Mus musculus: one gene and its partners. The protein of the gene in region 4 interacts with the protein of the main gene of each other region in a biochemical or structural test. Links are inferred from orthologs where the notes say so. Each region holds a gene or a part of one and is shown on either strand. Other genes may lie near its edges.

Region 1 (6,483 bases), on a different chromosome or scaffold from region 4:
AGTCCCACGAGCTCTGCCGACCCGTGTAGACCGCCCTTCGGCACTAGTGGCGCCGCGTTCCAAAAAATGCCCGGGGTCATACCAAGCGTTGCCACTCGCGTGTCGACTTCCCCCAGCTGTGTACCTTTCCCTCCACTTTTAAAGCCAGGCATTGCATTAGGATGTAGATCCCTTCCCCCTCACCATCTGCTTCCCAGATTACTACTTCAGGGAAGGACATAAAGCAAGTATTCTTCGTGGTAAATTCCGCCATTTTAGCCAGACTTGCTGTTTTGCTCCACCCTGGGGCTAAAGTTGTGAATCAGTTCTTTGCCCTAACTTTAGTCTTTGATTAGTTTGGAATTCCAGTCCGTTCTATTTATAGCCTTTGTAGAAATGGCTGTGACAGATCGGTTTACACACCTTTACCTGGGCTTTGCCTCATGGACTTATATGTTTCTTAGAGTATTTGGAATTAAAAGCTGATACCCACCGGGCTAGAAGCAAAGTTGTATTGAAAAAGATTCCTCCTCTTTAGGTTGCTCCTCTTAAGGACCTTCCTATAAACGATGAGCATGTCACTGCTGGTCCTTCATGGAAAGCAGTCAGTAAACAGCCTGCCTTCACCATTCATGTGGATGAAGCAGAAGAGACTCAGAAGAGGCCAGCTGAGCTTAAAGAAACAGAGTGTGAAGATGCCCTGGCTTTTAATGCAGCTGTCTCTTTACCCGGAGCAAGAAAACCACTGACACCTCTTGACTATCCAATGGATGGCAGTTTTGGTAAGGTTGCTTTTTATTTTTACCAGTCTCTCTTCCTTCTTTCCCTCCTTTCTGTCTTTTTATTCCCCCTCTGGGTTTCTTGAGTATCCTTGACTGTCCTGAAACTCAATCTGTAGACCAGGCTGACCTTGAACTAAGAGATCCACCTACCTCAGCCTCCCAAGTGCTGGGATTAAAGGCATGTGCCACAACCACCAAGCCTGTGCCTTTTATTTTTGAGACAGGATCTCAACCTGTAGCTTATATCTTGATATTTTGAGTTTTAAGATTATGTCTTACCCGATCATACACAGTGAGTTAAGATTACCGCAATCTCATGACTAGTACTGACCTATGAAAGGACTCAAATCTTTAACCGGCAGGAGGGCACTGCAAACCAACATCAAGTTTAATTAGATCGTAAATATCTATCTTAATCTGACTTTATAAATGTTTGGCTAGGAGAATAGATTTCAGTTTTGTGTCTGACTCACTCCTTAACATGCCAGCCCTAAGAGTGCTCCTTGAGGCTACAGTTTTAAGCATTGTGATATCTACCATTCGTTTAAAACTTGTTTGAATGTTCATCAGCTTGTAGGTCAGACACATGGAAGGCAAAATAGCTGCGGTAGACAGCTCTGCGGTTGCTATGACATCACTGCATGGAGACCAGAGATACTGGTATCTGTCACATTCTACCTTATGCTGTGTGTGTCAGCAGAAGGGGTGTGCTTGCCTGTGCTGGTACAAGTAGAGACTAGTGGAGTACTTGACTTTGGGGTATCTTCAACCACTCTTCCATCTCATTTCTTGATAAAAGGTTTCTTTGGAGCTCAGCGATTTGGCTAGACAGCCTGGCCATCGAGGCACAGGGATATGACTATTTTCAACCCTTTTCCTCTCCCACTCCTGGGGTTACAGATAATGCTTCTGTGTGGTGCTGGGAATGCAAGCCATATCTTCATTCAGGCATATGCAGCAGGCACTGCACTAAGCCATTTCCAGCCGCTTTAGTTTACTTAGTTCTGCTGATGGGGAAGGAGGATATGGAAACAGTTTATTACACAGATTCTCCCATCTCAAGATAACTGAAATGGTAAAAACTAGAGCTGAGTATATTAATGCCTATAAACAGCACTCAGGAGGCTGAGGCAAGATTGCCAGCCTAGGGCAACAGAGTCAGTTTCAGGCCAGTTTAGCCTATAGAATGAGACCCAATTTTAACAAACACCAAGTCCCTTACAGATCAGTGTTTGGACATGATATGACAAACTTGATATCTTTACTAACATTTGTTAATCATGCCATTTACCTGATTCTAATGACTCCCTCATTATGATCTGACTATGGCAACCCATGGGATCTGCAGTCTCTCTTAAGGCAAAAATAATTATTTTAAAACTTTGCTGTTACGTTCTTGTCCTAAAAGAACCATTGTTTCATCTGCTCATCTCTGTGGAGGATGATACTTTAAAGTAATTCTCCGTCTTCTTAGTAGCCTATTGGTGTACATACATGCATACATTTATTTCTGTTTTGGAACTAAGGTTATCCTAGAGCTTTGACAAAAGTCCTAAAACCAGAATTAGATGTTCTATGTTGCTTTGCTATTAGGGTGTTTTTGATTGGAAGAGATAAATACTTTGGTTTTAATCTCACACACACAGAATCACCACATGCTATGGATATGTCTATTGTCTTAGAAGACAAGCCAGTGAACGTTAATGAAGTACCTGACTATCAAGAAGACATTCACACGTACCTTAGGGAAATGGAGGTAAGGCTCTGCTCATTACAAATGGCTAAGTGAAGCAGAGAGGGTAATGCTGACGCCTGCTAACTACTAGCAAGTTACTCTAAACTTAAGATTATGGTGTATGCTTCTTTGTGAATGATGAAGTCACCTGATAATTATGTTAACTCTGATTCCCCCCCCCCCCTTCAGGTTAAATGTAAACCTAAAGTGGGTTACATGAAGAGGCAGCCAGACATCACTAACAGCATGAGGGCCATCCTTGTGGACTGGCTGGTTGAGGTGGGAGAAGAATATAAACTACAGAATGAGACCCTGCATTTGGCTGTGAACTACATTGATAGATTCCTCTCCTCCATGTCTGTGTTAAGAGGGAAGCTTCAGCTTGTAGGCACGGCTGCTATGCTGCTAGCTTCGTAAGTCCACCTAGTTTGGTTCAGAGTCATCATTCACTACTACTCCCCCCACACCCCCATTTATATATTTTTTGGATGTTTTGCCTGCATGTATATCTGTAGCACATGTGAGGTCCCTGCTGAGGCAGAAGAGGTCATTGGGTCCCCTAAGCTTGGTGTTATATACTGTTAAGAGCACCATGTGGGTGCTGAGAATTGAACCTGGGTCCCAGCCAATACTCTAACCATTGTACCATCTCTTCAACACCCAGTTTTAGGAATGGCTGTGGGATGATTCTGAACAGAGAGTGAAACTTATTTTCTAATCTAATATATAAAGCTTTCTAGATCTGGATTTCACATGCCTTGAATGAGCATAGGCCAACCACATTTTATCACACTAGATTGAGTTTGAAAGTGTGGCTCTTCTACAATAAAGTGCTTTCTGGGGTATAAGCTGTATCTTCCTTCTATCAGGAGATATTGTATGCAGGGGGCGAATCAGAAGTCCTTTAGTGACTTGGGCCTTTGAATTGGTTTTAACCATCTCAGCTAGAGATGTCAGTCAGCTGTCAGTGGGATGTGGTTGATGGAAGTGAGTGGAGTCTACAGTCTTTGCACTTCAGATTAAGACAAGACCTTCTGAATAAACTCACTCACAACTGCTTTTGTTATAGGAAGTTTGAAGAAATATACCCCCCAGAAGTAGCAGAGTTTGTGTATATTACAGACGATACCTATTCCAAGAAGCAGGTTCTGAGAATGGAGCACCTAGTATTGAAAGTCCTTGCTTTTGACTTGGCTGCACCAACAGTAAATCAGTTCCTTACCCAGTACTTCCTGCACCTGCAGCCTGCAAACTGTAAGGTTGAAAGCTTAGCAATGGTAAGTCCAGTTTGGGGGTTGTTTTTAGGTTGCAATTAAGGGGCAAGCACTGGTTTCGTCAAATAACACTGCTTAAGTCTTTTCGGACAGTTAATGCTCCAATACACAGAAAATGCTATGGCCCTCTCTACCTGTGGGCTCTGCACTTATGGTATAATAAACAGGCATTAAACGTAGCTGCCCATGTACTGGATAAGCACACACCAATCATATGTGTATTGTCTATTTTGTTTTACAAGTAATTCAGTGATATTCTATGTATATAGCATTAACTTATGAAAATAGCATGCATCTTTTATATGTAAGAGATTTAAGTATCTAGTGTCCATGGATAGGGGCTGAGAGGTTCAGGAGAGAACTTCCCAATGAATACACAAAAGTGACCATGCTGGAAAGGCGCTAACTAGTGGCTTAAAGAGAACAACCTAGTATATTAGGGGAGAGAAATGTAAGCTGAGAATAGAGGAAAACATTGAAATAATTTTCCCAGGGCTGATACAGAACCAGTGAGATCCAAGACAATGGAAACTGGTCAGGAAGCAAGGATTCAAAATCTTGAGTCTTATGTGTGATTATAAAAGTTGGGGTTTTGTTTTGTTTTTTATTTCAGTTTTTGGGAGAACTGAGTTTGATAGATGCTGACCCGTACCTTAAGTACCTGCCTTCACTCATTGCTGGAGCTGCCTTCCACTTGGCTCTCTACACAGTCACAGGACAGAGCTGGGTGTGTATTACCAGTTGCCTTCTCCAGTATGGGTGCCGCTTTGATTTGGGCTGAAAGCTTAGCTGTAAAGGTGCACTGAAAGCTCTGCTTCAAGAATCTGAGCCTTCCACCTGCTGCAAGCAGGGGAAGTAAACAGCCAAAATAAAAGATGGAGTGAGTGAGCTGAAACAGGGGGGACACCCTGAGTGAAGAATTGAGGAGGGAGCAACATTTAGAAATAACAAAACATCCTGTCAATGATTAGTGCCAATATTTAGATCAACTGTGAGCTTGTGGTCAGTGCCCTGTGCTGTTACAAAAAACTCAATGGTTGTCCCTTCCCTAGCCTGAGTCATTGGCACAACAGACTGGATATACCCTGGAGAGTCTTAAGCCTTGTCTTGTGGACCTTCACCAGACCTACCTCAAAGCGCCACAACATGCCCAACAGTCAATACGGGAAAAGTACAAGCATTCAAAGTAAGAATCCAATTCTTGTTGAATACAGTAACCTGCCACTACCTCAGTTGGCTCTTAAGTCATGTATTAGGAAGCTTTTGTGCCTTTGCTTCTGGTAAGAGAAGGGTAAGGGGGCAGATGTATGTGCTCTACGTATCAAATGTTTTTAAATTCATAATCAAGTAAAAGTAGCATTTCTCCAGTCTTGGGGTACATGAATTGTTCTGTAATCTCCCCAATGAATGTTTACTAAAAGTTTTTTTTTTCTCTGCTCAACAGATATCACAGTGTTTCTCTTCTCAACCCACCAGAGACACTAAGTGTGTGAGTGAAAGACTGCCGGCTTTGTTTGAAACAGGAGTCGCTCGGAGTCCATGCTGTACAGTTTTTATGTCGGGTTTTAGTTTCACAATCACTTCTGAATGTAGATGGTATAGCCACAGACAAATTATGGTATCCATTGCTTTTAAAATGGTTTTAATTTGTATATCTTTTGTACATGTGTCTATTTGGATAATTTTAATTGGTTAACATTGGTGCTGCCAACTGTCAAGATATTGAGAATAAACTGATTTGGAAATCTTTGCAAGTCAAAGTTAATCTGAGATAAAAATATGAATGATGTCGTTTAGAAACTAACTTGATTTGTTTTATTGTACAGTGGGGAGTAGGAAAAGATTTTATAAAACTAAAATATTTCAGGGAAAAAGACCTTCAAATTCTGGCATTGATTGATTATTCTAAGCAACCAAACCAAACTGCTGACTTGTTCATAAATAACCAAAAGTAGACAAACTGTTTTCAATGTAGCAGAACTCATTCGGCTCTCAGATGTTACAGTAGTTTATGGAGACATTTTATTTATCAACTTTAACAAATAAGGTCTTACATGAGTTGGGAAGCTTGTGCAACAGAAAAGTTTTCCAGAAAGTTTATTCAAAGCATAATGTTAAAGACAAACAGTGTATCAAGAAGTTCAGCTTGTAAGATACCCAGAGCTGTTAGCACTGAGTATGTATACACACACACACACACAGAGATCCACCACTTTAGCTTAGTTAGCAGTTCTCTTCTTCTTCTTCCTTTTCCCTTGGCCTTTACTTGGTGCCTTCTGGTTTGCACTGGTCTGAGCTCTGTGAATGAAGTAATATAACAGCTCACTGTATCCCATCTGTCCTGGATTGGGTCACTGGGACTCTGAAAGGTGCCCCATTTTATAGAACCAGCTTTTAATGTATATTTGAAAGAGGCCAGAAATTTGTTACCTTATTTTCTTTGGGTTCTTCTCTGGCTCCAAAATAATCATTTCTTCTTCTTCACTATCTGATAGCACTATAGGGGCACCTTTGGAAAAGTCCAAAAAAGGAGTTTACTGCTTAAGCACATCAGAGGTCCTAACGCTCCCATCTCCAGGCTAAGGGAGCTCCCAAGCTCTACTGCCCGGAGGCTGACACTCTTTCCGAATCTTACCCTGTTCTAAGTAAGTAGCTCCTTGCAGCTCTGAAAATTTGTAAAAATTGATGTTTTCTATAAACTCTTTCTTTCCTT
Region 2 (7,146 bases), on a different chromosome or scaffold from region 4:
GTTGGGGGATAGGACTCCCAACTCTTTCTCCCTTGTCCATTCTTGTGACTTTTCCTAATCCCAGCAGTAGAGAAGCAAGGGCAGGCCCTCTGAGTTCCACGCCAGCCCAGACCGTAGAGTGAGACCCTGTAGCAAAAACTAAACTTTTCTCCTATGCAACCCAGAATGTTCCACCATCAGCTCACTACATTGATCACTGCTGTCTGGACCTTACGTGGCCTCAGCAAGGATCTGTAATGACGTGTGTCTCAACCAGTATTTCATTGGCTGCTCCATTTCTTCTGTCCCTCCTAATGTGGTGTTTGCCAGATCTTTCTAATGCAGCATGGTATCATAATATGAGAAGATCCTTGCATGCAGAGAGAGCTTCTATTATCTCTTTGCCTCCAGCAATGGCTGGGGACTATAGTTATGGCTGCAGTGGGGGAGCGGCCTATCTCCAAAGTGGCTGGTGACACCTTTGGCCTTCATCAAAGATAAAGCTGAGCAAGACCAGTATTCTGTTGGCCTCATCTCTCTTCTCCCAAAGGCTAGTGGTGACTGTAGAGCAGGGAGAGACAAATGGTTGTGAGGAATGTCTTCTGAGCAATGATGTTCTGCCAGCTAGGGCTGCAGCAATGTGCAGTTCTCGGCAGGACCCCAGTAGACATTTTGTTGTTGTTGTTTTTTTAAAAAGGGGGGGGTCAGTTTTTTTCCTGTTTAAAAAAAAAAAAGTAGCCCCTACAGAAGAAAAATGCATCCCATATTTTTTTCTCCCATTTTCTTCAGCAAGTTGTTTTAGTTGTCATTATTGAATTGAGTTCAGCCCAGTGTCTCAACTTTGAGCCAGTGAGAGTCCTCATATTAAATTCAATGATACTGAAAGCCCACAAAGATTTTTGATTCTTATCTTCAGCTACTATTTTTGGTTTTGAAAAAGGGTCCCTAAATGTAACTCAGGCTGACCTTGAACTCAATGATCCCTTTCCCCAGCCTCCAGAGTGCTGGGCTAGAAGCACGCACACTACCACCACTTCAGTTGCTCTGAATGACTGCATGTCCATTCTCCTGTTAGCCTTCTTCACAAACCTTTTCATTTTATTGTATTTGGTTTTTTGTTTTTGAGATGGCTCCCACTGTAGTAGCCTTGGGTGACCTGGAGCTCACTATGTACCAGGCTGGTCTCAAACTCAAAAAGATTGCCTGAGCACTTCTGAGTGCTGAGATTAAATGCAGGAGTCATCATATCCATCAAGACATAACTTTTTTCAGAACGCTAGTCAGCCATTTTTCTACTTGTTTTGCATAAGGAAGAACTATGGTATGAGGATAAAAGGTGGTAAGCCACAGTTGCAGTTGATCTCAAAGTCAGGCTGATCTGGCACCGTATAAAACTTCATATACACTCAAAACCAGACTTAATTATTCTGCCTTATCCACTGGCTTCTTAAAAAGCCAACTTTGAAGCCCTTTTGTCTGTTGAAGGCACACTTAATTTGTCTATGAACTGCAGGTTGGAAACTACTAAATTTATCTCTAAAGGCCTGCTCCCAGATGTGCCAGCCACCTGGCTGTGGAGGGCGACACCTAGCTTGTACCTTCAAAAGAACTTGGTCTTGATTGAAGTATGGTGGTAATTGTGAACCTTTTGAGTCAGGGCCGGTGATGCTATACCAAACATACAAAGCCAGAGCTGAAAGGAAGCTGCCTTTCTCGCACAGCTGGCAGGCGCTGTTGTGGGTAATTTGCATGCTCAATTCTTTCTACATTGAGCAGAGAGAAGCTTTCTGCAGCACTGGTTGGAAATCAGGGGTTCCTGTGAAAATGGTCTGGGTGCCGCAAGCCACCCAGGTTCAATTCAGGAAAACATCCCCAGGCATATCCGTTTTGTTTAATGGTCTCTGCTTAAAATAAGATAGCTGTTGGTGCTAGGTACAGTTATGAGGTGAGGCAGGAGGATCATGAGTTAGAAACCATTGAACTGCATAAGCAAGACTGGAACTCAGAAATCCGCCTACCTCTGCCTCCCAAGTGCTGAGTGAGATTAAAGTTGTGTGCCACCACTACCCAGCTAATTTATTTTTAAGTATGAATGCTTTGCCAATCTGTATGTCTGTCGCATGTTTGTACCTGGTGCTTGCAGAAGCTAGAGAGGGTGTTGAATCTTCTGATTACTTCTACTAGAGTAACGTGGGCTATTGAATAGGATATGAAATCACTTCTTTGGACTCATTAGTTTGATCTGTGATCACAACTTAGTGCTAATGAGGTAGCAATTTGTCTCGCTTTGAGTTAGGGGAAACCAAATGAAGCTGTTCCATTTATATGACTACTCTTTTTTTGTAATATAAGTTACTTTTTTTTTTAAGGTGTATTTATTTACATGAGTACACTGTAGCTGTCTTCAGACACACCAGAAGAGGGCATCAGATCCTATTACCGATGGTTGTGAACCACCATGTGGTTGCTGGGAATTGAACTCAGGACCTCTAGAAGAGCAAACAGTTAGTGCTCTTAACTGCTGAGCCATCTTTCCAGCCCCATAAGTTACTTTTTGTGTCCAGTTGGCCACCTGAGTATTTCAGTTGATGTCCCTGTTTCTGAAGTTAGTTACAGAAGTGTCATGGAGTCTTTGAGGCATGCCTTTGGCTTTTGTGTCTTCATACTGCCTCCATTTTAGCCGAGGCCAGCATATCAAGCCCAGTAATCTCCCAGTCCATGAATGGACAAGTTGCTGGTTTGCCTCCAAACAATTGGCATGTGTTCTATTGGCAGCCCTGGGATGATAATTCAGCATGCGTGGACCCCTGCTCTTTCATCCCCACCCCTAACAAAGAAGAGGACAATGAGCTTGAATACCCCAGGACTGCATTTCAGCCTCGGAAAATCAGACCACCCAGAGCCTCCCCACTTCCCGTCTTGAAGTAGGTGTTGACTTTGACCCATGGCTTCTCAGTGTCATTGGTCTTTCTGGTCTACATTACTGTGGGTGCAGACTGACATCTATCTATCTGAGTTTTTCATGTTTCTTGTTCTTTCTTTTTACAGTTGGGGCAATAGAGAAGAGGTTTGGAGGATCATGTTAAACAAAGAAAAGACTTACCTGAGAGATGAGCACTTTCTGCAGCGTCATCCTCTCCTGCAGGCGAGGATGAGAGCAGTTCTTCTGGATTGGCTAATGGAGGTGAGCTTGGAGGTTCCGGCTGCTGGGGCATCACCACTGTTACCTTTCTCTGTGCTGCTGCAGTCTCTGTGTGCTCTCTAAACTGTTGAAGTTTCTGAAATAATCTTGTCCCTTAGACATATTAAAGTTGGCATTTCATTGTTTTTCCTATCTAAGTGTGAACAGTTACAAAGTTTGTTTTTCTAATAAGTTATTAATTACAAATTAATGTCTACATATATTTATATATGCTAAATTGTTTTAAAGATGTCTACTGGAGGGCTGGAGAGATGGCTCAGCAGTTAAGAGTACTGGCTGCTCTTCCAGAGGTCCTGAGTTCAAATCCCAGCAACCACATGGTGGCTCACAACCATCCATAATGAGATCTGATGCCATCTTCTGGTGTCTGAAGACAGCTACAGTGTACTTACATATAATAATAAATCTTAAAAAAAAAAGCTGTCTACTGGAATGCACATACTAGCTGTGCAGCGGTCACTATCATTAATTATAGGCATATATGAACAGGTTATGTGCAGCAGTCAGATCTCAGATGTGCTTATTTGAATTCCCGGGATCCATTCTTTACCCCCCAGAAGTATTTCTTAATAGACTGTCTTGTTCTAATCACATTGGGAATCCACTTCCCTAGTTCTGTGCAGTGGTTAATCAATGAGCAAGCACATGAGGCTGGAGTAGTCTGCCTGCATAGTCTAGGCCTGTGGCTCCATTCCAGACAGCTCAAACAAATAAAAGAACCCTCCATATTGCAGATTTTTTAAAGTATGACAGATTAACTAGCTAATCACTAAACTTTTTAAAATGAAATTTCAAGGCTGGGCCCAGCTGTGAGTAGTCTGATGGTCTAGCATGCATGACACCCTAGGTTTAATCCTCAGTAGTACCAAAAGAAAGTGAAATTTGATGAGTGGTGCACCTCTTGCTGGGGGTAAACGTTGAGTGACTTGTAGTGCTTGGATTCAAGGGAACTTCCGGGGTACTTATAGTGAGGAAGAAATGGCATTTTCTGCTGAGAAGTGGAAGAATCATGTTGGCAGGTTTACCTGTATCCCTACTTTATATGATATGCAGCCTGTTGGGACCGAACCTAGAATCATGCTCTGCATTCTCTGCTGACTTGTCGCTTCAGGGGCCTGGCTCAGACAAATTGCTTACATTTTGAGTCTGTTTTATTTTAGATAGGCTCTCATGTAGCCCAGGCTGACCTTGAACTTGCTATGTAGTTAGAGGTAATATTAAACTTCTACCTCCTCCTCCCAAGTAGTGGGATTATAAATATATACCACCACAAGTGGGTCTCTCTTTTCTTTTTAAAAAAAAGATTTATATGTATGTCTGTGTGCCACTGTGTTTATATACTCACAGAGGTCCCAAGAGGACGTCATCTAGAATTACAGGCAGCTGTGAGCCCATCTGTGTGTGCTGGGAACCGAACTCAGGTCCTAGAGAGCAGCACGTGCCCACTGAGCTGTTTGTCCAGCTCCAGTCTGCTTGCTTGTCTCTAGCATCTTCAGGAAGTAGGTTGCAGAGTTGTACAGATTAGACATACTGTATAAGCCAGGTGTTATGGCACAGCCTGTTGACTACATCCTCACTACTGCAGAAAGAAAGAAAAGCTGCTGACAGTGCTGGTGGACACTCGAGGAGGCAGAGGCAGGTGGAGCTCTGAGGTCAAGGCCAGCCTGGGCTACAGAACAAGTTCCATTTCTCGCCAGGGCTACACAGTGAGACCCTATTTCAAAAAGAAAATGTAACTGGTATTGTTCAGCAGTGAAGACTATACCAGTTCTTTTTCTGAGTCACGGTGAAACCTGTGAAGGGGGTTGCATTCTTAGAACTGTAGACTTTGTGGAGTGGTCTCTATAAAAGTGCTACTTTGGTCAGACCTAGCCTGGCTGATTTGCTCTTGCTGTTTGTGTAAGTCATAGTGTGCTCAGTTCCTGGGTCTCACTGGGCTGTGCTTAGGAGGAGTAGGGTGACAGCCTTGCATAAAAGCAGTTAGCTTTCTTACTGTGTCAAAAGTCAGGCAAGTTCGCTTGTGCTGCCCCTCAGGAGCCTTTTCTAACATGGAATCCTTTTCCCAGGTGTGCGAAGTCTATAAGCTCCACAGAGAGACGTTCTACTTGGCACAGGACTTCTTTGATCGTTACATGGCATCACAACATAATATCATAAAAACACTTTTACAGCTTATTGGGATTTCAGCCTTATTTATTGCTTCAAAACTTGAGGTAAAAAAAAACAAAAACAACAACAACAACAAAACCTCCCTAACATTCTTTGTGTGATAAGCATTATTTCTTAAATTCTGCCCCTATGAACAACTGTCATATGCACCTTGAATTCTCTTAACTCTGACGCTTCTAAGTTAAGGTAGACAGTGTCAGGTGGAGGCGGGTAAGGAACAAGGCCATAGATCATTTAGTTTAGTAGCTACTTTAACCATAATTGACCTTGGGACTGAAGAGATTGAAATTGTGGCATAGTGGTTTCCCACTTGGGATCCTAACACTTAGACAGCTAAGGTAGAATGGGCAGTTTGAGGCCTGCATGCCCTCAAAATAATATAAAAAGGGTTGTCGTGGGGTTCTTTATAGACTATAGGGTGAATGAAGAAGTCTAAGCAGTTTATCCATGAGTCTTTTTGAGACAGAATCTCTGTAGCTCTAGCTTGCTTGGATCCAGCAGCCTCTGGAGTTGTGACATTAAAGGCCACCACAGCCAGCTAGCTTTACTTCTTATAGCTAGCATGCTTTCAGTTGCTGAAGTGAGCCAGTGTTGAGCCATTGATTGTATCCTCTTTCCACGTCAGCATACTAGAGCCATTTTGGATGCATGTCCTAATCTGAAAGTGCTAGGAACGGTTTCTTCTAATAGCATCTTCCTTCTGTTCCCTTTTAGGAAATCTACCCTCCAAAGTTGCACCAGTTTGCTTATGTTACAGATGGCGCTTGCTCCGGGGATGAAATTCTTACCATGGAATTGATGATGATGAAGGCAGGTTACACATTAATATCGTGTGTGTGTGTGTGTGTGTGTGTGTGTGTGTGACAGAGAGACAGAGAGAGACTGTCTTTCCCTTGCAAGGTGTGGTGTGCCCACCACCACCGTGGGTCTTATCCAGTTAGCCATGTGGCAGGGACTATGGCTGAGCTTTTCACAACTGTCACTTCTTTCCTTTAGGCCCTTAAGTGGCGTCTAAGCCCTCTGACCATTGTGTCCTGGCTGAATGTCTATGTCCAAGTGGCCTATGTCAACGACACGGGTGAGGTGCTGATGCCTCAGTACCCACAGCAGGTCTTCGTGCAGATCGCAGAGGTATGTGGACCTTCTGCTTGCCCACTGTGTGTTTGTGTGGCACACCACAGCTCAGGGGCTTCTAGAAGCTTCATGTGGCATCTTGTCTTAGTGCTCCTGTCTTCCTTAGCTTCTAGACCTGTGCGTCCTGGATGTTGGCTGCTTAGAATTTCCTTATGGTGTCCTCGCTGCTTCTGCTTTGTATCATTTCTCCTCACTGGAGTTGATGCAGAAGGTCTCAGGTATGTTGGGCTTTCCTGTGAGTTCACAGACAAGGTGTCTTCAAGGTACAAGCCAGCTATCAGCTGCGGACTGAGCCTCTGACTTCTTTACTGGCAGGTTATCAGTGGTGCGACATAGAGAAGTGTGTCAAATGGATGGTTCCGTTCGCCATGGTTATCCGGGAGATGGGAAGTTCCAAGCTCAAGCACTTCCGGGGAGTCCCCATGGAAGACTCCCACAACATCCAGACCCACACCAACAGCTTGGATTTGCTGGTCAGTAATCTCCTTGCTCCCTCCCATCAGACAAGTACTTAACCAACTCTGCCTAAGGAAAAGCCAGTTCTAACTCCATTAAGAATGTTTCTAGTCCATAGAGTCTGTGTCTCAGTATGCGAATACTATAGACATTAGGTGAGAGGGGGTTGTTTACTGAGACCAGTTCTTACTAGATATAGCCCAGGC
Region 3 (7,350 bases), on a different chromosome or scaffold from region 4:
CTAGTGTAGGGCCATGGTAGATATTTGTTTGTGTGTCTTCTTCCTTGCCTCCCACCTGGATGTGGTCTGAATTAAGAAATATCTGGATGCTCTTAGCACCTTGTCTCCTGTATTTGCTGGGAGGGGCAGTGGGAACTGCCAGGAGGACAAGTTCTGTTCAGAGCAGGGTCACCTGACCTGTTCCTCATCTGTAAAGGGATTGTGGGTAGAGTCTCCTAGACTCACATAATTCTTGAGATAGCTTAGGATGCTCGGCAAGATGTCAATCAAGTCTGTCAGCGTGGGAGCCTCCTGTATGGTGTGGGTGGCTGAGACATGGGGAGACTCTGTAAGGGGGCAACTGTGAGGAGCTTCGTCTGGACAGCCCAGCCTGTTTCACTTTGGGGCTGTCCAGGAAGAGGTTGGGAGCACCCTTCCTGTTCCTGAGCCTCAGTTTGCTCATCCGTATAAAGCATCCGGAGCCACAGACGTGAGGGGTGTTGCAGCAATCCCACTTTCCCCTGCTCTCCTGAGACATCAGGGCTGACAGGCCACACTGGATGTGTGTGTCAGCAGATCCTCTAGCTTGAATTCCTGGCCAGCTCTGAGGTCACAGGCCAGTCTCCCTAAGGGCTCTACTTGTCCAGGGAACACTAGAAGCTGCCTTTGGGGAGCCCCAAGACTAGGGTAAACCTCAGGCCTTCTCTACCTGTCCAGAGTCTGGGGGGCAGTTGGCAGGGTGAACTTTTAGCCACAAGCAACTGCTGTGGCCAGGCAGATGGTTCCAGCTTGTCTGGTGACTATTCTTGGCCTGGGCCCCTGAGCTTGGATAGTGTTAGTTTTAGGCCTGAGGCTGTCCAGGAGATCTGCTGACTCATTCCTCTAGCTAGCCCACACCAAGTGATACTTACTGCCTGGCCTTTCCTAACCTGCATGTCAGGTCACAGAGGTGCTTTGTGTGTCCCAGTGTACAGAGACTGGGGTTGGCTTCAGGACCTGAACACCAGGGGCAGCCACTGCTTTTTGTCCCCGTTGGGCATAACCCCTAATTCCAGTGCTCAAGGGGCTGCCATTGAGCCACCCCATTTTCTACCATCTGTAGGCTCGCCTCAAGTTCCCCATCGACTACCCGTATTCCCCACCAGCCTTCCGGTTCCTCACCAAGATGTGGCACCCAAACATCTATGAGGTAAGACACTAAATACCTGCCTCAGGCACACTCCACCACACACACCTCCTGCCTCCCTTGCACGTGCCCGCCCCTCGTCTAACCCTCGTCACTCTTACAGACAGGGGACGTGTGCATCTCCATTCTCCATCCCCCAGTTGACGACCCACAGAGTGGGGAGCTGCCCTCAGAGCGGTGGAACCCCACACAGAATGTCAGGTGAGAACTGCCATGGTGTTGTACCATGGGCACCCCCCGGCACCCTGTATCCTAAGGTCCCTTCTTCCTCGCTCCAGTCTGGAGCCCCCAGAATCTATGGGGAGCTGAGCTTGCACCCACGGCCCCACAGAACCATCCTCCTGAGTGTAATTTCGCTGCTGAATGAGCCCAACACCTTCTCGCCTGCCAACGTGGACGCCTCGGTGATGTACAGAAAATGGAAGGAGAGCAAGGGGAAGGACCGCGAGTACACGGACATCATCCGGTGAGCGCTGCTCTCAGCCTGAACAGTGCAGCTGGGTCTCTACAATAGATGCTGCCTGCTCTGAAGAGTGACCTGTGTCTCCTGGGTGGGGTGGGGACTGTTGTGTTTCTGTTCTTGCATCCCCAGCTGGATGTGTGGAGGGCTCTGTAGCCCCCAGAGCACCGAGTTGACCACCTAGTATGGCCAAGATCCTCTTTGCCTTGTGTTTGGCTTAACTCCATGAGTGACTGGGCACTCTAGGCCACATCCTCACCATCTGACATCACTCGAATTTGTGCTTCTGAAACTTAGAGCAGTTTTGCAAAGTGGGGAGGTCGCTGAGCCCACTGTGAGCCTGTCCTGAGACAGGGACCCAGGCTGCAGCCTGTGCAGTCCGTGAGTGGTAATGTCTGTCATCACTTCTCAGCGCCTGTCTGCGGTCAGGCAGTCTCTGCACTCCCCAAGCTAGGTATGACGTTTCACTTGAGAGATTCTAAGCATGTGACACCCTGCCTCTATCTAGTCAATGCTGAATGTTAGTATTTATTACTTAGCTTTTTTTTTTCCCCAAAATTTTATTATTATATGTAAGTACACTGTAGCTGTCTTCAGACACTCCAGGAGAGGATAGGGTATCAGATTTCATTATGGATGGTTGTGAGCCACCATGTGGTTGCTGGGATTTGAACTCAGGACCTTTGGAAAAGTAGTTGGCACTCTTTAACTGCTGAGCCATCTCGCCAGACCCCTATTACTTAGCTTCTGTGTTTTGTTTTGTTGTTGTTGTTCTTGTGGGGATTTGGGGGGTGGGGTTGAGACAGGGTTTCTCTGTATAGCTCTGGCTGTCCTGGAACTCATGCTGGCCTCGAACTCAGACATCTGTCTGCCTCTGCCTCCCAAGTGATGGGATTAAAGGCATGCGCCACCACTGCCCAGCTAGCTTCTGTGTTTTCTGAGACAGGCCTCCATATAACTCCTTATCTCCTCATGTTCATGATGTCAGGATGACAGCACATGCTACCTCTTAAGTGACCAAGTGCTTGACTACACAGTGACCCAAACACATGGGGCCTATAGTGTTGTCATGCTTGTCGGCCAGTTGCCTGGAGCCACAGACAGGGCAAGCACTTGCTCAGCAGGAGCCCTGTGGCCTTGTCCTGCAGAAGGCAAACCTGCCTTCTCAGAATTGGTATAGGCTGCAACTTGGTAGTCAGTGCTAGTCCAACATGTGCAAGATACTGGGGTTAGTCTCTGGCCTTAGAACAAGATGCATGTAGCCGCCATCGTCCTGCATGGAGGTATTAGTTATTCAGGAAGGTCTGAGCTCTGTACTATGGAGGTGTCACCTTCACAATGGGCAGGTGAGCAAGGATCCCTTGAAGGCTTTGTTCTCTGTTGAGACTGGCCTGTAATTTTCTGCCTCCTGCTCTTCACCGGCAGGGAAGAAGGCTGATTACCCTGTGTTGTGCTATAGCAGCTCTCCAGCTTCCTGGCAGCCCTTAGCCCAGCTCTCCTGGCTGCTTCCTCACTGTATCCCTGTCCCAGAGCAGGAGCCCCAGGCTATTTTTACCATTCTGACACCAGGAGACACTCAATGTGACCATGAGGCCTGTACTACTCCTGAGATTCAACCTGAGAGCCAGTGTCTAGTCAAGGACAGGAGAGCTGGGAGCCTGTGAGAAGGGCCTTGAGGGCAGGTTGGGCTGTTAGAATGAGCTGCTGTCACAGGCTTCCCTCTAACATTGTTTTGTACCCCATTCCCTCTGGGAAGCTAAGACCCGTGTCAGCTCTACTTGCCTTTTGCATTAGGACCTGTGCACTGCGACTGTCCTGAGGATGGCCTGACCTCTCAGGCACTTGAAGCTCTGTCCCAGGCCCTGATTTCTTTACTTAATTGCTGCCCCCTGTGCAAGGAAGCTCTTATGTGTTGCTTCACCCGTATCTTTGTCACTTCATCCATGGCCTGTGGGGCCTGGAACCTCATAAGGTTCTTCTGGGACTGCCCTTCATCAGAGTGCCCCTCAGGTCAGGCTGCAGTTTGGGGGAGTTTGATGTTGGTGTGGAATGTGGGTAGGTGTGTGCTCTTTAACCTGGAACTAGTGTCGTGGCCCCCACAGTACTGGGATTACAGCATGGATCCTGGTGTGCCCAGCTGTTTCTGTGGTGCTGGGAGCTGGCCTTGGGTCCTTGTGCTTACACAACAAACACTCTGACTGCATCACCTCCACTTTTTTTTTTTTTTTTAATGACTGTTGTCATAAGACAGATCCTATTACAGCTGAAGCCACCCTGAGACTCAGCAGGCCTCCTGCCTCAGCCTCCAAGTACTAAGTGACAAACCTGTTTCCCACAGCCAGCTGTGGTTACCTTCCTGCTGGGAACTGGCCACTCCTTGTCCCCACGCCCTTTATTCCCTCCCACCTGCTCCCTGCCCTCCATTCAGTGTCTATTCTTGGAATCCCATTGTCCTGGGCCTTGGCCTCACCTGCCCTGTCTCCCCAGGAAGCAGGTCCTGGGGACCAAGGTGGACGCGGAGCGCGATGGTGTGAAGGTGCCCACTACGCTGGCCGAGTACTGCGTGAAGACCAAGGCGCCGGCGCCCGACGAGGGCTCGGACCTCTTCTACGACGACTACTATGAGGACGGCGAAGTGGAGGAGGCCGACAGCTGCTTTGGGGATGAAGAGGATGACTCTGGCACCGAAGAGTCCTGACCCACGTCCCTGAAATAAACTTACAAATTTTACCTCAGCAGGACCCGTGTGGGCCTCAGGCGACAGACTACCTCACCGAGGTTCCATGTGGGCTCCCATCCCATGATCCTTAGGTCCTCTTACCCCGTATTCCCCATGGGTTTTCCTCGGCTTTGGAGAAGAGCTGTGGTGCAGGGCAAACACCCCACTCAGCTTTCAGATGATGACAAGCCTGGGAGGCTGGGGACCGACTGCCTGGTGGGGAGCCAGAGACTCCAGCCCAGCCCAAGGAAGGCCAGCACCACAGTCTCCTCTCTGCTTTTGGTGTGTGTGAAATAAAATAAAATAGCTTTCTGAGAAGCTGAGAGAATCACCTAGGACGCCGGTGGCACTCGGTACTGAGGGCCACCTGGGTAGCCCGGCCAAGGCCGTGGGATGGGCAGGAAGAGATAGTGACTGTTAAGGCTCAGGATTGTACAGGGGCCCCAGGCCCAGAAGCAACTTGCTGCCTGCAGATCCCACCTTCCTGCATCTGGCACTGTGGCTGTCTGTGTCCGCCTCCATCCTGCAGTCAGAAGGCCTGGGTCCTGAGGCGTGCAGAGGACTAGTATCCCAGCAGTCCTTGTGTCCTGGGCACTTCTTCAGCCCTGGGAACTCCAGTGCCTGCCTGAGGAGTCCCTGTGGCAGGCAGCCTGGTGACTCCCCACAGGAAGGACAGGCTGAGTGATGCTCTGACCACATCATGCTGTGCAGGGTGGCTACAGTGACCCAGTGCTGAAATAGCATTGGGTGCCATGTAAAGAAAGGAAAAGAAAGTGTCACTTTCATTGCGTGGGCCTGTTAACTCTCCAGAGTTCCAGTCTCCAGAACAAAGCTGTACTCTACTGAATAGCACTTCATGGAACCTGTGCTGCTTATAACTGATGAGAGAAGGACAAGTTGTTGGAAAGGCGTTAGTTCAGGCCTTCCTCTACCCGTATAATTTGCAGCCAGCCTTATGTACAAAGTTGCAGGGCCAGCAGTAAGGCTCAGTGGGTAGAGGCCTGCCACCAAGCCTAGCACAGGACCTACACGGCTCAAGGAGAGAACTGACCCTGTGAGTCATCCTCTGTGGGGGTTGAGGTCCATTGAGACAGACCCAGTGTTTACCTGGTGCTAATCACCAGAATGAGCATCACTGGGCTATAGTTGCTGCCCCCCAGGCAGGGGGCAGCTTTGACAGCAGAATTGCTTTCTAAAACCACACAGCAGGGTGTGAAGTAGGAGGAGTTGACACTTGTGCAAGGTGGGTGGTACTGGGAAGGCCACCTGTCCCCACAGGAAGAGAGAGTGGGGAACCCTTTCCCCCAGGGACCACTGATCCTGTGCCAGGATGGAGGTCTGCTGGTCCCTGCTGCTACTGCTGGCCCTGAAAACACTGTGGGCAGGTGAGCATTCGGGGGAAACTGAGGCCCAGAGCCGGGTATCCAGAGGGCTGTGGATGGGAGGCATTACGTACAGGGAAACTAGCAGATGATTCAGAACCCTGAGTAAAAACAGCGTAGAGCCGGGCGCGGTGGCGCGCGTCTTTAATCCCAGCACTTGGGAGGCAGAGGCAGGCGGATTTCTGAGTTCGAGGCCAGCCTGGTCTACAAAGTGAGTTCCAGGACCCCCAGAGCTATACAGAGAAACCCTGTCTCAAAAAAAAAAAGAAAGAAAACCACGTAGCCTGGTGACAGGCCTCTGAGCTCAGTATTTGAGGGGTCTGAGGCAGGAGGATTGCCATGAGTTCAGTTAGAGTGAGACCTATCAGAGGAAACAAAATGGGGTTAAGGATATAGCTTAAGTTGGGGCATATGCCTGGTGTACAGAAAACCTGGGCTCCATACTCCATTCCACCAGGCATGGTAGAGCACACCTGTCATCCTAGCACTGGAGGTGGAAGACCAGGAATTCAAACCCTTGCTCAAACCCTTGCTCTCCAGTGAGTTTGAGGCCATCTGTGCTACAGAGCCTCCTGAGCACTGACATTAGAGGTGTGTGGCTACCACACATGACTTTCTTTTTGTAAAGGTATTGCCATGTAGCCCTGGCTGGCCTGGAATTTATAAGTAAATACCCGCTTCTTGAGTTTGGTCAATGAGAGGCTGTGCTACCATCCTGAGGTACAGATGGCCTACAACTCACTGTAGAGCTGTGTCTCATGCCTGTAACCCCAGCTCTAGGGGACGAGCCAAGCCACAGGGTCCCTGAGGCTCTGGGAATGTGCTGAATCAGTGAAGCCTCAATTAAGGTATAGGGCAATGCAGAAAACACCAGACTTGGTCTCTGACCTCCATATATATACATCTATCTGTATGCATAGATGCATTTGTCTATTTGAGACAAGATCTCACTATTGTAGTCCTGGCTGACTGGAACTCACGGAATCTGCAGCCCTCTACCTCGTAAGCACTGGGATTGGAGTTATGTGCCACCTCCCAAGTTTTGATGCTTATATTAGTTTGGAAACTTTTAGAACCTCTCCAAAAAATAAGGAGGGAGAGAGGAGGTTGGCTTTTGCAAGTATAACAACTTATGGGCTATCCACTGGTCTCTCAGACCACACAGTAGCTTTTTGTCTTGAGAGTCCGTAGAGACCCTAGCACAGTGTAGCCAAAACTGATCTCAAACTCCTAGCAATCTGTCTCAGCCTCCCAAGGCCTGCCTTTACAATGGGACTTTAAAATATGAAGAGAGGCTGGGCCTGCACCTCAGAGGACAGAGCAAGCTCTTGTCTAACATTCAAGAGGTCCTGGCTTCCACCAGGCATAGCAGCACATACCTATCAGGGGAGATAGAAACAGGATTGGGAGTTCAAAGTCACCCTCAGCTACATTAGTTCCTGGCTAACCTGGGCTACTTGAAAAGAAAAGTTTTGTTTTTTTAAGGGGGAAAAAAAGAAGGAAGCACTCGTGGATGGGAGACTTCCTTGGGTGGTGAAAAGCTATTCAGTTGTGGGTGGTAGCCACAAGTTGTATAGACAGAGGTCAGCCTGCCAGTTTGTGAACTGGGCCCTGCCACTTGGTG
Region 4 (7,939 bases):
AAAAAAAAGCCAGGGTAATGGTGCACACCTTTAATCATACCACTTGGAAGGCAGAGGCGGGAAGATCTCTGAGAGTTCAAGGCCAGCCTAGTCTACAAAGCCCAGGATGGTCAAGACAAAGCTAACCCTGTCTCAAAAAACAAACAAAAAAACCCAAACATAACAAGAAAAAAGAAATGCAGACGTAGACTCACTGATTGGACCAGTTCAGTTCCTCTCTCCCCAACACCTTTGCTTTGCCAAGTAGCCAAGGACTCCACACATCCACTGGGATGGGAAATGAGTCACTTCTGCACAAGGGGCTCCTTCCCTCCTTCCAGCCCTGAGGACACTCAGGGTCTGAGCTACTACTAACACCTCTGTCTTCCTGGCAGGCATGTAGCTGTGTGCAGCTGCTATATACTTTGTCCTTCCTCTTCAACTCCATTTTGAAACTCCTAAGAAACAGCAACCCTCCCTTATGTTCTGTCTGGGTCCTCACAGTGTTTTGCTTCAAAGATGACTTTTGTCCTACATCTGTGGACACGTAGATGTCATATTTTATAACCAAAGCTATGTACAATGGGCAAGTTAATCAAAACCTACTCATCTTAGCAGGATCTATCTCACCACATTTGGTTGGTCAAACACCAAATTGCTACTGTTAAAAACCCAGGCTCTAAAAATAAGAGTCACTTTAAGTTTTATAAAGAAAAAGATTTCTATATGTGCAGAGTCAGATTAACATTACTGTAGACAGAGGATGCTTCTCAAGCCAGTGTCAGAAACTGTGTGGACCATTACCTATTATAAGCCACTGTCATACTAAGACCTTTACAGTTTTACTCAATGTTCAGATGAACACTTTAAGTAGGAATTATTGCTCCATTTCACAGATAAGGAAACTAAGGCCCAGAAAGTTCAAGTCACTTCCCAAGGTAGCTCCCAATGGCAGCATCAAGGTTTAAATGTAGATTTGTCTGAACTTACTTCCATACCCCTCTAGTTAATCTCATATATTATTATATATTCAGTTATGTTTTCACTTTGAGACAGTCTTACTGCGAGGCTCATGCTTTCTAGAAATCCCCATCTTCTGACTACAGCCTCTTAAACTGGGACCAGAGAGACGTGCCACCATACCTGGCATTAATGTGGACTCACATGCTATAACCTGAAGATGACTCCCTTTCCAAAAAAGTATTGAGAAGCCCAAACAGAATTTTTTTTTTTTGAGACAAGAGTCTCATTGCGTAGCCCTGGTTGTCCTGGAAGTCACTGTATAGGCCAAAGAGCTTCCAATTCACAGAGATCTGCCAGCTTTGGCCACTGGTGTACTGGGTTCAAAGGCATGAGACACCACAGGGGACTACAAAACAGGGATTTTCAAGCAAGCCACGGATCTGCTCACCACCCTGTCTGCAGACAGCGCCCGAAGGAAGGACGGAAGAATCCATTTCTTTACGCTGGCTTTGCAAGGCTTCACTCTGATGCTTTCTTCAACGTCTTTTTCCATTCCTCACCCAATTTTAGTTTAGACTTTGGTCACCTCTTCCACTGCTTTCATCCTGACCACGGCTTATCATTCTCTCACTGCTCTACATAAATCTCTAGGGGTCTGCTGCCTATCCTCTACCCGATACAGTTCAGCCTCAGCTAACCAATGTGTCCCTTTGGAGGGGTCACCGAGCCGGGGCGCCAATGGTCCACTCTTTTAATCCCAGCACTTGAGGCAGGCAGATCTCTGAGCTGGAGGCCAGCCTGTCTGAGTTGGAGGCCAGTGAGTTACACTACAAACAAAGAAACCCTGTCTCAATGGACGACACTGAACGAGGGGAGAGGAGTGAGTGTTCCAATGAGGAAAGATCAGCCCCACCTGAGGCCGCACCTCTCCCTACTCTGTCCACTCTCACTCTGCTTTCCTGTTCTCCAGCATCTTATGTGGCTTCCCTTTACTTTAGGTTCCCTATGCCAAGGGACATTTTCACGCGTATTCCTGCATTCTCCCCTTGTCTTTGCTTAAAGGTCACAGCCCAAATAAGGATGTCAGCCAATAACCAGTTTGCAATCTATCTTCAGATTCCAAGACTTCCTCCATTCTGCCTCAGTTTGACCCCCTCTTTGTTTTTAGCCACGTTGGCCTAACATGTTACAGAAAGTACCATATCCATTGGACTTCCAGCATTTCCTCACTAGAATGGAAGTTCTAGGATTTGTCTGTTTTGTTCACTGCTATTATCTGGAGCCACTATACTGTGGAGGACAGTGTGCTCTCAAAAACACTTCCTGAATCACTCTTTTGAGACAGGGTTTCTCTGTGTAGCCCTGGCTGTCCTGGAACTCACTCTGTAGACCAGGCTGGCCTCAGAAATCCGCCTGCCTCTGCCTCCTAAATCCTGGGATTAAAGGCGTGTGCTACCACTGCCCGACCCTGAATCACTTTTTTAAATGACTAGGGGGTGGGGGTGGGGAAACCTTGACAAGCCTCAGGTCAACACACTATATTTACTCTAAGGCTGCCAGTCCTTGAGTCTGGATCTGCCCTGGAGGCGCTTTATTTAAAAATGTTTGGGGAATCAAGGAGTGGGAGTCACTAGTGAGAGAAGAATTTCAGGTAAATTCTGATCTCATCAATCCACCCTGCCTCCTGGAGACAGAGCTGAGAAGAAAGCTGACAATATAAATCTATTACAATAATCCAGGAAGAGATGATGAAAGCTTGAAACAGCTGCCACACAAGAGTGAAAGACACAGTGACTAGCTGGGTAGTGGGGGCAGTGGGGATGAGACCACATTTCAGGGTTCTATGACTGTAGATGCAATGTCACAGTAAGGGAAACACCACACCCCCAAGGGCCTGCTTGCAAGCGGAGCAATCTAAGTCTCTTCTACTTAGTAACATTTACCTTCCTAATGTGCCTACCAATAATCTAAGTCATTACCATACAAAGCTTGCTCAGATACAAAGAAGTATATAGAGACAAAAGGGGACCCTCTAAGATCCCTGCTTCTGTTCCCATATGTCAGTGTACTGAGCTGGACTTTGAGCAGGAAGATTCCTTTCTAAGGAAAAGGGCAGGAAAAAAGCTTCAAGTCAATTGTTGACCACAAGATAAAGACCAACCAAGATTCCTGAAGACTTAATGACTGGAATCCATTTCACTGCCACACTTCCAAACTAGGCAATTTTAGGCACCAAAACTAGGCAATTTTAGGCACCGATCCAAAAAGATTCCCCAAGGAAATAATTCAATCGAATTTAGTTAAAACAAAATAGTTCAACCCATTACAATACAGTTTGGATCTTAGTGTTGTGCATTACCTGGAAAGTTCTCCCGACTAAGCTTCGGCCGACGGATGATCACAAAGTCTTTGTCACTCCCTTTGCCCTTGACTCGTTTCCTTGGAGGGCTCTGGGGGTGGCCGAGGTTTGAGAGCAGTCCATGTGGGATGTTCTCACTGTCCACCTCCTCCTTCTCCAAGGCCGAGACACCCATGCCTGATAGCAGTTCAGAAGTCTTGCTGGAATCCCATCCCCACGTGAAGCTGGTGGTGACGTTGCCACTCTGGTCCGGAATCTCCTGAAGGTGCTTCCTGCAGAAGGGCAGACATTCTCTATTCCTTTTGAAAATACACCCCTAAATAATTCCAAGGTAGGCATGAAAGAAGAGTAAAGAATGGAGTGGAGAAAAGTCCCAGCAAGTGACAGTACTGCATTTTTTAAACGTGCCTACAAGCGAGAGAAATACAAGAATGAAAGAGAAAAATCGGGAACATATATACTTTGAAAGGCTTTGGGATTTATGGTCACGCAGAAGGCCTCAATAATTTCTTCCCGTGGAGGGAAAAAGAGGGACGGCACTGATACCATGACTCAAAGTAGAGGAAGGAAAACTTAATTAGGAAGCCAAATTAAACTCCACATTGATATTCGCACTAAAGCATTCATCCATCCTTTTTCTCTAAGCAAACATTCACATAACCAGATTATTTGAACAAGAAGCAACATTCGCGGCCTAAAAGAATTCAAACGGTTCATTCATGTTTTGTCCGGTTTTTTTGCAATCGGTTTACCTATGCATGGTGTCCACTGATTCAGGAGTTTTGAATGCTTGAATTAATTGAAGCGCTGCCTGCCTTCCAGACTCCTGTTTTAGCGCTCGGCTTAGAGTGATCCCCGGGGCCCCAGCAGTTGGACCCGCGAACTAGCAACGTTCCATCACCACCGCGCGCGCGGAGTTCTGCATCCCGCTCTCCAGCAGCCGCCTTCTGACGCCCCGTTGCCTGCTGGGAATTGTAGTTCCGAGCCTAGCTCGTAGTCCTGCCTGGGTTCTTCCACTCTGATTTCGGACCAACCCTCCAGATACCCACAACTCCCTGCGGCGCCGGGCGGGATTGAAGGAGGAGGAGGAGGAGGAGGAGGACAGGCAGGCGGAAGTGGGTGGAGCTCCGGCTGGCTGGGAAATGTCAGCCGATTGACTGGGAGCAGGTTTTCCTTTTCCCGGAGCTCACGGGCCTTCGGGTGATCACCGCCACGGTCGCCCGGGACTGAAGGATCCGTGACCCCGGCAGGCTGCGGCGGACGCGAAGCTTCTGAGTCCCTTCCAGACGCTGTCTGGCGAGGTCCGACGGTGAGCGTGAGGGGGGCGGGGACGCGTGAGGTGCGTCAGGGTCTGGGGTCCCGGCCCAGTCCCTGGCGGACATAGACTTGGGGGGAGTTCCAGATGGTGAGTGGCCGCCGCCGCCAGGCCCATCTCCGGGGTCTCGATGGCCCGCCAGGTGAGAGGCTGCGGGTGGCACTCCTGCCATTCGCCTTCCTCCACCTGGCAGTGGGCGGCCCTTAGGACTGGGTCTGTGGACGCGATCCTTTCCTCACTTGTAAACTAGGCTCGAGGACGCGGCACACCTCATGGGCTGGCACTGAAGATCAAATCAGCGTGCGAGGGGAAGCCTTTTTCGAGCTAAAGCGCAGCTCCAAGAGGAGCGATGGTTTATTTTTAAGGCGGCAGGAGCCAGCAGTGGTTCCCGCGTGCATCCTCTTGGATCCTTGATGAGTCTCCCAAATACCAAAGGGAAAAAGGGAGGCTCCGCTTGCAAGGAGAGACCACCCTGAAAGCTGTTTAGGTGCCTCTGACTCAATCCACAGCCTGTCCTAGAATCTCTCTGCCTAGAAACTATGCTAATTTAGCCTCTGAAGAGGTCGGGGGCGATTAGATTAGAATGACCATGCAAAATTCAGGTGTGCAAACTGTGCAACAGGGGAGAGGGTAGGGGGATGCATTTCTAGTCCAGTAAAAATGAAGATTTATAGAGTTGAGAAAAAAGCAGGCCACCTTCATCAAAAACATTAGAATATTGGTTTAGTATGTTAGATTGCATACACTTGTGTTTCTTTGTGGAGAGAGCAAGATTCGTTTTATAGTGGAATTAAATCCTTCATGCTCAGTTTTGTCTTTGTTTCTAGCATAATCTTTGCATCAGTTACTTCTTGAGAGGAAGAGATTCATGAACTTTTAGTTCCTGTGAGTGAGATTGGTGTAAAAAAAAAAGACCTTTTTGCAAATTGGTTTTACTTGAAAAGAAAGACTAGGAGAATAAGTATGTAGTCACAGTTTTGTTATGGAAAGTATCTAAAGTGAGACCTTCTGAAATAGTGTATAAAGTTATCTTTTGTTACTTTGAAAAACTCATTTGCCTTCTCTTGAACTTTGTCCTTTCTGTTAGGATGTAACTCGTTCAAGAGTAAATTCTAGTAAATATAAAACAGCCCTGAATTCAGCTAAGAGTTAGCAGAGACCTTAGGATATTTAAATTAGTGGGCACAAGGTTCTCTCTAGGAAAGGAAAGCCTATCAACTTTGAAATTAGGAGCCTCCTGATTTGCCTTGATAATGAAACCGGTGTTCTTTTGCATTTCTTTAATCACAGCTATTTCCATAATATACTGAAAAGGTTTGTATTGATACACACACGATTCTTTTTATTTTTTTTTTCCTTTGGTTTTTCGAGACAGGGTTTCTCTGTGTAGCCCTGGCTGACCTGGAACTCACTCTGTAGACCAAGCTGGCCTCGAACTCAGAAATCCACCTGCCTCTGCCTCCCAAGTGCTGGGATTAAAGGTGTGTGCCACCACTGCCCGTTACGATTCTTTTTGATAGAGGAATTGTGTCCATTGAAGATGTGAGGTTATTAGCTACATAGAAACTCACCATAGAGACTTTAAGAGACTGATCTCTTAAACACTACATTGTGATTGCTGCTAATGTAAAATATTTTATTTCCTGATTAATCTTATTTAATCTTACTTAACACATTGTATTTTATTTTAATAAGTCTTTTAAAACATAGTTTTAGCATTAGAATGAATGTGAGTCCAGGATAACAAAATCATTTTCGATAACTGAAAGTATCATTAGGTTGAATAATGTCTAATGTTCTCTGGAAGCCTCAGCTAGAACACTGACATAAATGGAGAAAGGCAATAGCAGTGCCATTTACACAGCTAAAACCATGTCGTAGTTACAGGCAGTCACTGTCTGTAGGGCCCCGGAGAGTCTAGAAAGGACTGCCCATCACAACTGACATATATGCTGTATGTGTGTCCATCACAACTGACATATATGCTGTATGTGGGTCCATCACAACTGACATATATGCTGTATGTGTGCCCATCACAACTGACATATATGCTGTATGTGTGTCCATCACAACTGACATATATGCTGTATGTGTGTCCATCACAACTGACATATATGCTATATGTGTACAACTGTTGGTCCCATTTTTGAAAATCAAATACAACCAGAGAAATACAATGAAGCCTAAAGGCACCATTGTGACATAGAGAGACTAAGAGATTCCTTTTGCTCCTTCTGTTATTTAGGTTAGAGGAACAAAATGCAAGAGACAGTTTTAGCAAGCATGTTTCCAGTTGCCTGTCAAATTCCATAACTATCTCCTTTTCTTCCTCAGTTTGATTGTTATCTTCATTTTCTTTGATTTAATGATCTGTATTGGCAGATTAGATCAATAACAAAAATATTCTTATTTCTTCTAGCTTACTTTGTAGTTCTTTCATAAAAATTAGAAAAGAAAAACTACTGTAATTTAAATGAAATAATTACCCACAAAGGAAAAAGTTAAATTCCCTATTAAACATGACTTTTTGAGTATTGAGTCTTGAGTAATCTTGAAGACTAGTAGAATATTTTTAAATTATTCTTTATGAAAATGGAACCATAGAAATTATTTAAAACAAATTGTATTTTAAATGGATGTCTGGATTGGAGAGGAGACATGAAATTGAAATCTATTCTCTGTGGTCAGGATACCTTACTTCGTTTTGCACATACTGGTGTGAGAACTTGGGTAAATAACATATCCGCTCTGCCATCTACTCCTTATTAAGCAAAAATTCTAACAATCTTTTCTCATTAGTTTGTAGGAACTAACTAAAAAAACAATGTACAGTGTAATATAATAAACATACATTAAATCTTCAAGTTCCTTTGTAAAAACAATACTTTGTGAGAAAGGAATCTCTAGATGCCAAAGTAATTGGTATTGGAATTCTTACAGTTCCTACAACTGAAATCCTCAAGGGTTTGTTGAGAGTTTAGAGTTCTCCTTACCCACTGACCTGGTTGTCAACTTCAGCTCTCAAGCCTTGCCAAAGATGAATCATCTGCTCCTGCCTCTTGTCACACTTAGGAATCCTAGTCACCTGGTTTGTCAGTTTCAAAACATAGGCTCTTGAGTTATCTAACTTTTATTATGTCACCTAGATGAGTTAAAATACTTATTTACATTAATACTGCAACTGGGGTGTGGCTCAATAGTAGACAGTTTGTATTTAGGCATCTGAAGGCCCTGAATAAAAGAAAAAAATTAATATCAATTCTGGTGAATCTTTAGGTCTTGATGGCCAAATTTCTTATTGATTTCAGAATTTGGGGATTTGA

The links.
Region 1: the proteins of Skp2 (region 4) and Ccna2 are reported together in a solved structure, tested with the Homo sapiens proteins (2 studies listed by BioGRID, with this or other methods). The link is inferred for Mus musculus from reciprocal best matches to the Homo sapiens genes SKP2 and CCNA2.
Region 2: the proteins of Skp2 (region 4) and Ccne1 form a complex in vitro, tested with the Homo sapiens proteins (2 studies listed by BioGRID, with this or other methods). The link is inferred for Mus musculus from reciprocal best matches to the Homo sapiens genes SKP2 and CCNE1.
Region 3: the proteins of Skp2 (region 4) and Cdc34 form a complex in vitro, tested with the Homo sapiens proteins (3 studies listed by BioGRID, with this or other methods). The link is inferred for Mus musculus from reciprocal best matches to the Homo sapiens genes SKP2 and CDC34.

What each region holds. Positions count from the first base shown.
Region 1 is NC_000069.6:36,565,014-36,571,496, reverse strand, and holds part of Ccna2 (cyclin-A2), read left to right. Parts: intron 1-517; coding exon 518-761; intron 762-2,407; coding exon 2,408-2,517; intron 2,518-2,685; coding exon 2,686-2,909; intron 2,910-3,565; coding exon 3,566-3,773; intron 3,774-4,383; coding exon 4,384-4,497; intron 4,498-4,822; coding exon 4,823-4,956; intron 4,957-5,214; coding exon 5,215-5,263; 3' UTR 5,264-5,989; coding exon of another isoform or gene 5,990-6,068; 3' UTR 6,069-6,200; coding exon of another isoform or gene 6,201-6,279; 3' UTR 6,280-6,483. Other genes in the region: Exosc9 (exosome complex component RRP45), read right to left, coding at 5,990-6,068, 6,201-6,279. UniProt on the Homo sapiens protein: Cyclin which controls both the G1/S and the G2/M transition phases of the cell cycle. Functions through the formation of specific serine/threonine protein kinase holoenzyme complexes with the cyclin-dependent protein kinases CDK1 or CDK2.
Region 2 is NC_000073.6:38,098,803-38,105,948, reverse strand, and holds part of Ccne1 (G1/S-specific cyclin-E1), read left to right. Parts: intron 1-2,754; coding exon 2,755-2,903; intron 2,904-3,027; coding exon 3,028-3,163; intron 3,164-5,247; coding exon 5,248-5,394; intron 5,395-6,064; coding exon 6,065-6,160; intron 6,161-6,346; coding exon 6,347-6,481; intron 6,482-6,590; coding exon 6,591-6,702; intron 6,703-6,799; coding exon 6,800-6,957; intron 6,958-7,146. UniProt on the Homo sapiens protein: Essential for the control of the cell cycle at the G1/S (start) transition.
Region 3 is NC_000076.6:79,683,737-79,691,086, forward strand, and holds the end of Cdc34 (ubiquitin-conjugating enzyme E2 R1), read left to right. Parts: intron 1-1,081; coding exon 1,082-1,168; intron 1,169-1,268; coding exon 1,269-1,366; intron 1,367-1,496; coding exon 1,497-1,631; intron 1,632-4,112; coding exon 4,113-4,323; 3' UTR 4,324-4,662; downstream 4,663-7,350. Other genes in the region: Gzmm (granzyme M isoform 1 precursor), read left to right, coding at 5,675-5,729. UniProt on the Homo sapiens protein: E2 ubiquitin-conjugating enzyme that accepts ubiquitin from an E1 ubiquitin-activating protein, and catalyzes its covalent attachment to other proteins by an E3 ubiquitin-protein ligase complex. In vitro catalyzes 'Lys-48'-linked polyubiquitination.
Region 4 is NC_000081.6:9,136,131-9,144,069, forward strand, and holds the start of Skp2 (S-phase kinase-associated protein 2), read right to left. Parts: upstream 4,325-7,939; 5' UTR 4,062-4,324; coding exon 4,054-4,061; intron 3,574-4,053; coding exon 3,302-3,573; intron 1-3,301. UniProt on the Homo sapiens protein: Substrate recognition component of a SCF (SKP1-CUL1-F-box protein) E3 ubiquitin-protein ligase complex which mediates the ubiquitination and subsequent proteasomal degradation of target proteins involved in cell cycle progression, signal transduction and transcription.